Linked DNA regions of Macaca mulatta. The protein of the gene in region 2 interacts with the protein of the main gene of each other region in a pairwise test. Links are inferred from orthologs where the notes say so. Each region holds a gene or a part of one and is shown on either strand. Other genes may lie near its edges.

Region 1 (3,027 bases), on a different chromosome or scaffold from region 2:
GCCAGCCCTCGGCCACTCCCACCCGCTGGCATGTGCCTCCAGAAGATGGCTCCATGTCCGGTTACCTGCGATCTTGGGGGCTGTGGTGCAGGGGAAGCCCCCGTTGGACTGCTCAGGCTCTCCGAGGTCAAAGGGCTCCCGGGGCTTGGGCTTATACTCCCGCCTGGGGCGTGACGAAGCTTCCCGCATCCTGTGAAGGGAGAGATGTGAGTGGCCCGAGCCCGTGAGTGTCACCGCTGAGGCAGCCCCACCCCTGTATTTATGCTGCTGCCTAGTAACCTAGCCTAGGACTGCAGGAAGAGGCTGTCAGTGGGGTCGTGACACATGGACCCTGGGACACAGCTAGACTGGGATGTCTACCCAGAGGGCCTCCAGCCTGGACCCCCACCTTGGAGCCATCTCAGAGACTGCCAAGCAGCTGGGTCCTGCCACGGCCTCTACCTACAACGCCCCCAGTCGCATCCCCCCACCTCCACCCCCCATTCCCTACCACAGCTGGTGCCTGACACATGCCTAGGCCCCCAAAGCAGGTCTGGCCTCTGTTCAGGGAAGGGAGCCTGGGTGTTCCTGTGGCAGCAGAAAGTGCAGCCAGGGAAGGAACAGGCACGTGGTTAGGAGTCGCCAGGGCCTGCATCTGGGGCAGGGCTGCGTGTTGACTCAGAGTTCTCACAGACCGGGTTCCTCCTCCTTCAACCTTGTGGCCCCCCAGGCCATTCCACTTGGTCCCCAGGAAGAATCCAGGATGCTGCTCTGCCATGCCATGCGCTCACCCCAGAGTGAGGTGTGCTGCCCACGCGTGCTGGCAGAGGCCCATGGCAGCCCAGGCTCACCTGCGCTTGAGCTTCTCGGCCAGCTCATCCAGGATCTGCACGGCCTGCCGGTGGTAGTCCAGCTGTGCGTCCACCAGGGCCGAGAGCTGACTCACCTGCTCGATCTGTGGGGACAACAGGGCTCAGGGGCTCCTGCCAGCACCACTGTCCTGTGCCTTCCCTGACTCACGAGGTGAAGCCACAGGAGGCAAGGGGGCCGAAAGGGGACAGGGGACTGGGGCCTGTACCCTCAACCTCCCCTGCTGCAGAGGCCAGGTCACTGCCGCCTCCGGCCTCCCAAGGGCATGGGGCTTGTCAGGACGTGGCAGCCCCAGCTACTCACGTCGGTCTCCAGGAGGTTGTGCATGCTGGTTTCTGCCACCTCCTTGGACTCCTCGAACTTCTCCAGTGCCTGGCGTAGCTCCTCATCAGGGATCTTGCCCTGCCGCTTCTTCTTGTAGTCAAAGTCCAGGCGGCGGCCCTCCAGCTTCTTCAGGTGGTGCTGGAGATAGTGGGGGACATGGGTCAGGCCAGCAGCGGCCAGAGACCTGCCCGATGCATGGCCCTGACCCACTGTCCCTGCACCACTGGGGATCCCACCTGCCCGCGACCCAGAGGGCAGTGCCAAGGGTGGCAGGAATGGGGCTGCCCCATCCAGCAGGGGGAAGGGATAGGCCCTGGGCTGGCGCAGCAGCAGCACCTGGATCTCCTTCAGGTCTTTCTCACACAGGTTCTGGAGGGGGTCAATGAAGTTCTGCTTGACCTCTATGTCCAGGGAGTCCTTCACCTCTGCCAGGCGCTTCATGGATTCGCCGGCATCCAGCAATGCGTCGCCTGGGGAGAAGCCGGGCCTGAGACCACTGGACTAAGACACTCCTCAGCCTTTGTTTTTGAAACAGGGTTTCGCAGGCTGGAACACAGTGGCGCTGTCCCAGCTCACTGCAGCCTCGAACTGGGCTCAAGCCATGCTGGCACCTCAGCCTCCCAAGTAGCTGGGGCCACAGGCGTGCACCACCACACCCGGATCCTTTCCAACGTCTTTTTTTGAGACGAAGTCTCGCGCCACTTAGTGCAGTGGCGCGATCTCTGCTCACTCAAACCTCTGCCTCCCAGGTTCAAGTGATTCTCCTGTCTCAGCCTCCTGAGTAGGTGGGATTACAGGTGTGCACCACCACACCCAGCTAATTTTTGTATTTTTAGTAGAGATGAGGTTTCACCATATTGACCAGGCTGGGCTCCAACTCCTGACCTCGTGATCCACTCGCCTCGGCCTCCCAAAGTTCTGGGATTACAGGTGTAAGCCACCGCGCCCAGCCTTTTTTTTTCTTTTAGATGGAGTTTAGCTCTTGTAGCCCAGGCTGGAGTGCGATAGTACAATCTGGGCTACTGCAACCTCCACCTCCTGGGTTCAAGTGATTCTCCTGCCTCAGCCTCCTGAGTAGCTGGGGTTACAGGCATGCGCTACCACACCCGGCTAATTATATCATATATATATATATACACACATATATATGTATATATATACACATATATATGTATACACATATATACATATATATATATATATATATATATATATATATGTTTTTTTAGTAGAGGCAGGGTGGGGTTTCTCTATATTGGTCAGGCTGGTCTTGAATTCCCAACCTCAGGTGATCCACCTGCCTTGGCCTCCCAGAGTGTTGGGATTACAGGCATGAGTCACTGCACTCAGCCCCATCCCAACTTCTAACAGCCCCCACACTCCAGGCCAAGGGCCTGGAAATTGGAACTCAGAACAAAACAAAGGATCCTAAAATCCCAATCAATACTGGATGTTAAACCAGCCCCCTCCCCACGCTCCTAAAAGGGCCTAGGTTTGCCCTTAACAGGCTGAAGGTGGTGGAAGGATAGATGCTGGCGGGGGGGGGGGGGGGGGGGGGGGCGGCGCGTCCAGACTCTGGGGAACCAGCTGGCTTGAGCTGGGGAAGGTCTGGAGCTACAGGAAAGGGCCCCATCGGCTGGACCTGGACCTGCACCTGCCCTGCCTGTGTTGAGGCGTGGCCTCCAGGGAGGGTGGGCGTGGCTTCCAGAGAGCACCACTCACCAAAGTTGGACTCGCCGCCCAGCTCCTTCCCGTGGCGGATCATGCACTCGCCCAGGAGCCCCTCCGACTGTGGGTAGCCGGGGTTCTTCACCTGGCCCCGGATCTTGGACACCGTGTTGAGCATGGTCAGCT
Region 2 (3,646 bases):
CTGGCATCTGACCCCCAGCCAGTTGACTTCTTGGCCCAGCTCCTAATCCTGCCCCAAGTGACAGGCGGTAGGTAGCCTGGCCCCTAGTGGATTATCAGCGAAAACGATGGCTGCTGAGGGCTCTGGGGCAGGCATGGGCAGGTTTCCAATAGCCAGGGCATCCCCACCCCCAGGCAGCTGCCTTGTTGGCCTTTTGGGAACAGAAATGTCTGGGTGTCCATCATCAGCACACCTCTCTTCCTCTGTTTCCACACCTTCCACCTGGCCAGGAAAACAGGCTGTCCAAACAGCACCTCTGCAAGGGGACCCAGGGAGAGCCTATTGTATCTGGAGCAGAGCTGGGCAGGAGGTGGTGAGCAGGGACTCTGGGGCCTCCTAGACCCTTCGCAGAGGGAACCGGAGATGCCAGAAAGGGTCCAGACTATCTTGGGAGCCGGAGCCTTTCAGCCTCAGTCAGGCTGAAAAGCACAGCCCACAGTAGCCCTGTGCACCTCAGGCCAGATCAAGGGAGCCTGGGGGCCAGGTAGCCTTGGGTTCAAGGGCAACTCCCCCACGTCCTGTCTGCAGGGTCTTGGGAGTCACTTCCCCTCTCTGAGTCTTGGTTCCCTCATCAACAGCCTGGGGCTAGGCTGCTTTCATGGCCGAGTGAATAAGCCATAGAAAGCATCAACCTAGTGGTCACCCTTTCATAAGTGGTGGCCCCAGCATCTGTGCCCCTCTTTCCCACCTGCTCATCCTTTGCCTGTCACTCCATCTCAGCCTAGATTTTAGGATCCAAATGTTGCCACATTTGGGCTCTTAAGTTTGCAATGACTTCATGCTTTATTCATCAGACTTTCACCAAACCCTGCCCGCCACCTGCTGTGCCAGGCCCCATGAGCCCTCTTCCCTCTCCTGCCTGCTGGGTTAAGCTCTGTACTCCTTACACAGGGCCGGGGGTGAGTGTGTGACTCCACCCTGGAGAAGCTCACTGTCTAGGCCTGTAGCTGACTGCAGTCCGCTCACTCTGCCAGGCGCAGGGCTAAGCCCAGGCCTCACCTTGCTATGCCCTCCCCTCTGGTCTGCCAGGCAGGCCTTGGTACCATCTCTGTCCTCCACACAGGGAAACTGGGCTCAAAGAGGTTAGGTGGCTTTGCCAGAGCCCCCAAGCCAGAAGGGGGCAGAGAGACAGGACTGGAGTCCAAGCCCTTCTGAGGCCAGAGCCGAAAGGCTGCAGGGGGCCTTGCTCCTGGGCGGGCTGTGGGTGGCCAGGGCATGGCTGATTGCTCCCCTTGCCACAGGTCACCATTGGTATGTTCCTGCTCTCTGGAGACCCCTGCTTCAAGACGTGAGTGCTGGCACAGGCCTAGGGGGCGGATGGGAGCCCAGTCCTGGGCACTGGGGGTGGAGGAACAGGGACTCTTGGTGTCCTCCGTTTTCGTCTGGTCCTGAAGCGGGGCACCCTAGTCACACCTGTCTGTCTTCCCAAGGCCACCATCTACTGCCAAGTCCATCTCCATCCCAGGCCAGGATTCCTCCCTGCAGCTGACATGTAAGGGTGGCGGGACCAGCAGTGGTGGCAGCAGCACCAACTCCTTGACTGGGTCCCGGGCCCCCAAGGCCCGGCCCACCATTCTCAGCTCAGGTACAGTTCCTCATCTGCCCGCGCCTCCCCTGCTAGTGGCCCAAGGGCTTTACCTCCATGTCATGCCCAGGTCCCCAGGGAGATGCTGACTGAGGGGAAGGTGATGGTGGGAGGGTGTTTGCATGCTCCTGCTGGGCTGATGACATCTGAGTACCTTGTGTGTGCTGGCTATGCTGCTGGGCCCTGAGATCACAGCAGTGCCCTGGACTGAGACTGATGTGGCCTCCCCATCCTCATGGCCCTGCAGTCTAGCAGGAGAAACAGGCCTCAGCCAAGTCATAGGTAAATGACATGCATGTCTACCTGCAAACAGGGTAAGAGCTGGGGAAGACAGGCCCAGAAGGTGGGATCCATCCGGGGCCAGGGAAGGCTTCCCTGAGGATGTGGTGTCTGAGCTGCATTCGGAGGGTGAGGCACAGTATACCTGGCAGAGGGACGTGCTGGGACCTCTTGCTCTCCCACGTGCTCTATGACCTTGACTGGCCAGTTTGCCTCTCCCTGTCTCGGTGTTCTCTGGAAAATGGGATTGGTAATAGCAGTTACATCCCAGGTCACTTTGGGGATTAACTGTCCACATGTGGGCACCTGCCCCGCACATGGTAAGCACTCAGTGGGCACTCTGGTTTTTGTTTTTGTTTTTTTAGACAGAGTCTCACTCTGTCACTAGGCTGGAGTGCAGTGGTGCAATCTCGGCTCACTGCAACCTCCGCCTCCCGGGTTCAAGCATTTCTCCTGCCTCAGCCTCCGGAGTAGCTGGGACTACAGGCGAGCACCACCATGCCCAGCTAATTTTTTTTTTTTTTTTTTGTATTTTTAGTAGAGACAGGATTTCACCGTATTAGCCAGGATGGTAGCCAGGATGGTCTTGCTGTCCTGGTCTCGTGATCTGTCTGCCTCGGCCTCCCAAAATGCTGGGATTACAGGCGTGAGCCACCACGCCTGGCCGGGCACTCTGTTTTTATTAAATTATCACTGGTAATAATGTTATGAAAAATGTGAAAGAGCCCCAACCCCCAGAGGAGATGGCGTGGCAATTAGGAGGAGGGGGTGCTGCCCGGACAGGAGGCTCTGGCCTGCCCCCAGGTGTTTGTTTGCTGGGCCCCCTCAACCCTAAGCAGGGCCCCCAGAGGTATGAGCCTTGGACCACCCCCAGGTGATTAGTGAACAAGGCATCAGGTGGCAACCCTGATTGTCCCACAGAATCAGTTAGAGCACAGGCCTCGTGTGGCCCAGCAGATGCTTGCCAAGTGATTCTGCCTCTGTGAACTGGGAGCGGTGAGGGACCCTCTGACCTCAAGGGTCTGGCCTTCCTTCACTCCCTCTTCCCCTGCAGACCCAGCCAGCTGAGGCCCGGAACAGAAAGCTGGGGGCTTCCCAGCACAATTACTCTCTCCAGCCCCTGGATGGGAGTCCCCAGAAGAGACATGTATCTGGGGATCAGACCACCCCAGCGCAGGTGGTACCTTCGTGTGAAGTAGAAGAGGCCCCTCCCCCAGGCAGGGTGGGACTTGAGTGCCCACTTGCCTCTGGAGCTGGGCTCACCCCATATGCAGAGAACCTGTTGGGGACTTGAAAAGCCACATAGTTATGGATGGGCACACAGGCCAGCCTGGGGTATCACAGGCCAGCCTGGGGTGTGTTGGGCAGGAGGGCGGGTGGGTACTCAGAGCCCTGGGTAGGTCCCACCTGGTCCCTTATGCCTCCTGTTGGGGAGTGCCAGGAAAATCTGTTTTGAAGTTGGACTTATGGGTAACTTGGGACAGGACTGTGGGCCTGTCCCTTTGGGCCAGCCTGCTCCCCTTCACCCTGTCCCTTCCACTCCAACTCTGCTGACCCAGGCCCCTTCCAGCCTCGGGGCCTCTGCCAATGCTGTTCTCTGTGCCTGGAAGGCCCTTGCCCTCCTGAGGCCTTAGCTGGCTCCCTCCAGCGATATGTCCTGGAGGTCTGCCATTAAGGCCATCTCCTTGGAGAAGCCTTCCCTGTCCTCAGACTGGGCCAGACCCCCAGTAAGCACTGTTCCCT
Region 3 (4,272 bases), on a different chromosome or scaffold from region 2:
ACACATTATGTCAAAAAATGCCCCTCTGTCATTTATGCTTGTGTAGTTATAAACAAATAAATGCTTAAGTTATAGCTGTGATGTCCAGTGTTAAATCACTGTGCCAATGCTTATGCCTTGGTTTATGAAAGTAGTAATTCATTATGGAAATTCCACCCCCACAGCCATGTGGCAGCACTAGAGTTGCAGCCCTCACATCCTGTGTTTCCCTCCCACAGAGTGACTATATAGAGATCAGGACCTCCATTTTTTCTAATTGTCAACAGTTACCCTTAAAAAGTGTGTGGTGGGGGAGACAAATAGCAACAAACAACAAATTGATGGCCATTGTGGGCTTCTAATATCGACAGATTATTTGTAACACAATGAATAATGCTCCCGGTCTACACCAGGGACTATGTTCCATAAGAAATAAAACTTGTAACCAATATGTTGCTATTATTATTACAGGAACCTTTCAAAAACATATTCTTCAAACATTTTTCATTAGAATCACTGGATGAATCACACTACATTTTTTTCTCTACTTCAGTTCAAGTTCTAATTGCAAACTAAAAAAAAAAAAAAGCCTTAAAGAAATACATTAACCAACGAAGCTCCTTATAATTTGGTTTCAGACTCCTCCATATATTTTAAAGACCTGAGCACCAACAGAGATTGTTAAGACACAGCAAGCTTGATACAGAAGTATGTGACATGCAATTAATCTCCATTCATACCCTGCTCTACTTGTCAGCAAACAAAGGTTCTGCTTTAGAAGGAGATCTGAAGACTTCAATTAAAAACAGTCAGCTAACAAGAAAATAATCTAAGCTAAAGGAAGGTGGCAGGTGCAGAAATGAGTTGTTTACCAAAGTGTCAGTTTTGAACAATAAAGAACTGCACATCAAAAATGCTGAAGGAATGGATTTCATTGCAAGCCTCTGAAAATAAAAAGGAATTTTCTACCAAGGCTAGACACAAAACTGAAGTATAGTTTAACAAGCTTATAAAATAGGTTTCCTCTCATCAAATGACAGATACCAATAAAAAGAACCACTTTATATCTTTCAATGCAAGGGCAGAGTTAAACTTTTCGCCACAGTTCTTTCTCTCCTAGAAACCAAAGACAATTACAGCCTTCCTTCACAAGCCTAATATTAAACCAACAACAGAGGGAAAGGCTGGATTGCTTCTTCTTAGACACTTAGATAATGCTCCTTTACCCTGCAAATAGTTTTCCACCCCCAAAATTTAGATTTATTCTGATCATAAGTAAAATGGATTTTGGAAACCTCACCTCAAAAGAAATATCTAGTTGACAGCTTTTACATAGAAGCAATCCAGAATGGAAACAGTGCTACCAACAGAGACCAAAAGGACTTGCCAAATATTTGATTAGGAGGCATTTATACCGAGATAACAAGGTAATGGAGATATAAAACCAATTAAATTGAGAGAAACTGAAAAAAAAAAATACTGCTTGCCAAAAGTGTGACCTGCCCAAAGCAGGCCATCTGTTAAATATGTGTCAAATACGTCAACTTAGATGCCAAAAGGCTTAATTCTGAATAGTTTTCTCCTGGAACCCTTATGCAACTGCAGATTCCAGGCCTCTGTCCTCTCTGGAAGGTTAGTTACAGGAAAGCAAGTAAAAGTGACTTTCACCATGAAACCCAGCAGATGAAACTGCCCTTTAGCAACGTCTCTGAGACATCTCTCTGGAGTGTCGGCAGTGTGTGCTGAGTGTTGATGGGGATGGCCGGAACTCTTTAAACCATCGCTTAGACACTGTAGTCGGAAGGTGAACACACCACAATGGGGGCACTTCTAGAAAAGGAGGAAATCCCATACTGAGAATGAGCCTGCCTTGGGGTGGGTGAGACCCCCTAGACGTCCGCAGGGTGATAAAGGGAGGGCTGGGGTTTTCGCACTGACAAAAACTCACGTCAACCACCTGGCCTTGGCCCATGGGGATCCCATGAGCCCCTCGCAGCCCCCTGGAGAGCCTCGCGGACCTCTAAGCAGGAAGGTTTGGGGTCTTCTGTGACAGGTGAGGAAGTCGTGTCTGGGGAAGGAGGGGGACGGGAAACCCTACAGATGTAGAGCAGTTATTCGGAGAAAGGGACAGGTCGAAGACCAGGCAAGGTGGCATGGGAGACCAAGAACCTGGCCTGAGGACTTTAGAAGCCGGGGAGGTGAAGTGGAGGCCTGGAGGTGCCTCAAGGAAAAGGAAGATGTGGGACTCCAGGGAGTGAAAGGGGCCCTGAGTTGAGAGGATGGAAAGATGGCTCTGGGGAGCTGAGGCCTCTAGAAGCCTTAAGGTTCTAGAAGGAGGTGAGTGAGGAAGCTGAAAAGAAAGCCTGGCTGTGGGAGGCCTGGAGTCGCCTTTCTGCCTTCGGCTCAGCACTTAAGGGGGCTTGCGCCAGGGCGTTACCTTCCAGGAGCCAACGGATCTCCTCAGGGAGGCCGGCGGCCTGCATTTGGCTGGGCGGGAGAGAGACCGGTGTGCGAGGCGGGAGGGGGCGCGGGCCCTGGTCGCGAGGCGGACCGGCTGGAAGGCGACCCGGCTGCGCCGCGAGGCACCTGTACCTCAGCCGCGGTCGCCGCCCGCCCAGCCCGGCCGCGGGGCGGGGCTGTGGGTCCCGGGGCGCTTCAGGAAGTGGCGCGGGCGACAGGCGGGGACCCGGGAAGGGGCGCGGGGTGTGGGCGCACGTGGCGCTCACGCCCGGGGCCCCGCGGTAGAAGGATTGGGGGTGCCAGAAGCACCGCACCATGCGAGGCCAAAGGTGCGCCCCTCCAGCACCCACCAAAACAGAAGACTTCAAAAGGCTCAAAGGACCCACGGCTTTGAAGACTCCATCCTAAGCACCGAACAGATGAACTCACGGTGGCAGATTTGAAAGACCGCGGGGTGCCTGAAGTAGGGTGCCGAGAGGCAGAATCCAATTCCCGTCAAGCATAGCACCTCTCAATTGCCTGTCCAGTTCACATCTCCATCTCCAGAAAAGAGGGCAAAACTTCGCTCTTAGGGAAGCCACAATGTTGAAAGGAAATGATTAATTCCCAATAAGCAATATAAGGACACCACCATTTGGGAGAATCGCGGCAGCGTGGCAGCAAGGGACACAGGAAACCGAACTGTGCTGTTCTCCCTCAGGCTGGAAAGGCCCTGAGGAAAGTAAGGGGTAACTCAGGGAGAAAGCTGAGGGAGAGGAGAACAGAGCCCTTTCCCTCCAAGAGCTGCGGAAGGGAGGAAAGTGAAGGACAAAATCACAGTCTCATTCAAGGGACACTTGGTGTCAGTCTCCTGGTTGTAACATGGTACTGTAATATTACCAGATGTTACCCTTGGGGGAAACTGGGTAAAGATAGACGAAATTCCTCTATTATTATTTCATCTTATTATTATTATTTCTTAAACTCTCTGTGAATCTACAATTCTCTCAAAATGAAGAGGTTTTTTAAAGTACAATAGGTCCACTGCCATGAAAAAGGTATAAAGTGCTACGGTTGATAAAAGAAGGGAGTTGAATACAAGAAAAGGAGGGAAGAGGCCAGGCATTGTGGCTCACACCTGTAATCACAGCACTTTGGGAGGCTGAGGCAGGAGAATCACTTGAGCACAGGAGTCTGAGGTTACAGCCAACTATGATCACCCTAGTGTACTGCAGCCTGGGCAACAGAGCAAGACCCTGTCTCTTAAAAAAGCAAAAAAAAAAAAAAAAAAAAGGAAGTGCCAGTATGCTTGTGAGTGTTCAAAGGTGCATGTGGTGTTTGAGATGGGCTCTGAAAAACACACCAGACTTTGAAGGGGCAGGAGGACTTTCCAGGTGGAAGGACCAGAGTAAAGAAAGAAGGAAGAGCCCTTACCAGCTTGAGGACTAGTTAGTAGCCCTCTTTTACTGGATGTTGTAGGAAGACTATGGTTGTCAAGATAAACTGCAGCTCTACTGTTAAGGGAATTGAAAGTCAGAATAGGAAAGTTGAACTTAATTGAGTGGGCACTGGGGAGCCATTGACAATTTTTTAGATTGGGAATGACCTAACGGGAGCTCCGGTATAGTATGTGGCCTCACACATCTCCACCTCTGCTGTTTTCCTTCTTAGTAAAAAGTGGCGTTTCTATTCTCAGACTCAACCTACAGAATATGTAGAAAAGATTAGGAGTGGTAAGAAAAGACACAAGGAAAGTGGGTAAAATGGTTTTTACAACAGCTATAAGGGGAATAATGATGGACTCAACCTAGGAGATGGGGCAAGAGCAGTAAAAAGAAATCGTTGAGAAGGATG

The links.
Region 1: the proteins of EEIG1 (region 2) and SH3GL1 interact in binary tests that used the Homo sapiens proteins (3 or more experiments, as listed by UniProt). The two-hybrid records come from large-scale screens. The link is inferred for Macaca mulatta from reciprocal best matches to the Homo sapiens genes EEIG1 and SH3GL1.
Region 3: the proteins of EEIG1 (region 2) and SKAP1 interact in binary tests that used the Homo sapiens proteins (3 or more experiments, as listed by UniProt). The two-hybrid records come from large-scale screens. The link is inferred for Macaca mulatta from reciprocal best matches to the Homo sapiens genes EEIG1 and SKAP1.

The regions. Positions count from the first base shown.
Region 1 is NC_133424.1:5,192,316-5,195,342, forward strand, and holds part of SH3GL1 (endophilin-A2), read right to left. Parts: coding exon 2,896-3,027; intron 2,216-2,895; exon of another isoform or gene 1,644-2,215; coding exon 1,510-1,643; intron 1,312-1,509; coding exon 1,153-1,311; intron 935-1,152; coding exon 831-934; intron 191-830; coding exon 66-190; intron 1-65. UniProt on the Homo sapiens protein: Implicated in endocytosis. May recruit other proteins to membranes with high curvature.
Region 2 is NC_133420.1:19,748,340-19,751,985, forward strand, and holds part of EEIG1 (early estrogen-induced gene 1 protein), read left to right. Parts: intron 1-1,280; coding exon 1,281-1,327; intron 1,328-1,469; coding exon 1,470-1,624; coding exon of another isoform or gene 1,625-1,659; intron 1,660-3,646. UniProt on the Homo sapiens protein: Key component of TNFSF11/RANKL- and TNF-induced osteoclastogenesis pathways, thereby mediates bone resorption in pathological bone loss conditions.
Region 3 is NC_133421.1:61,581,175-61,585,446, reverse strand, and holds the start of SKAP1 (src kinase-associated phosphoprotein 1), read right to left. Parts: upstream 2,864-4,272; 5' UTR 2,757-2,863; coding exon 2,417-2,756; intron 1-2,416. UniProt on the Homo sapiens protein: Positively regulates T-cell receptor signaling by enhancing the MAP kinase pathway. Required for optimal conjugation between T-cells and antigen-presenting cells by promoting the clustering of integrin ITGAL on the surface of T-cells.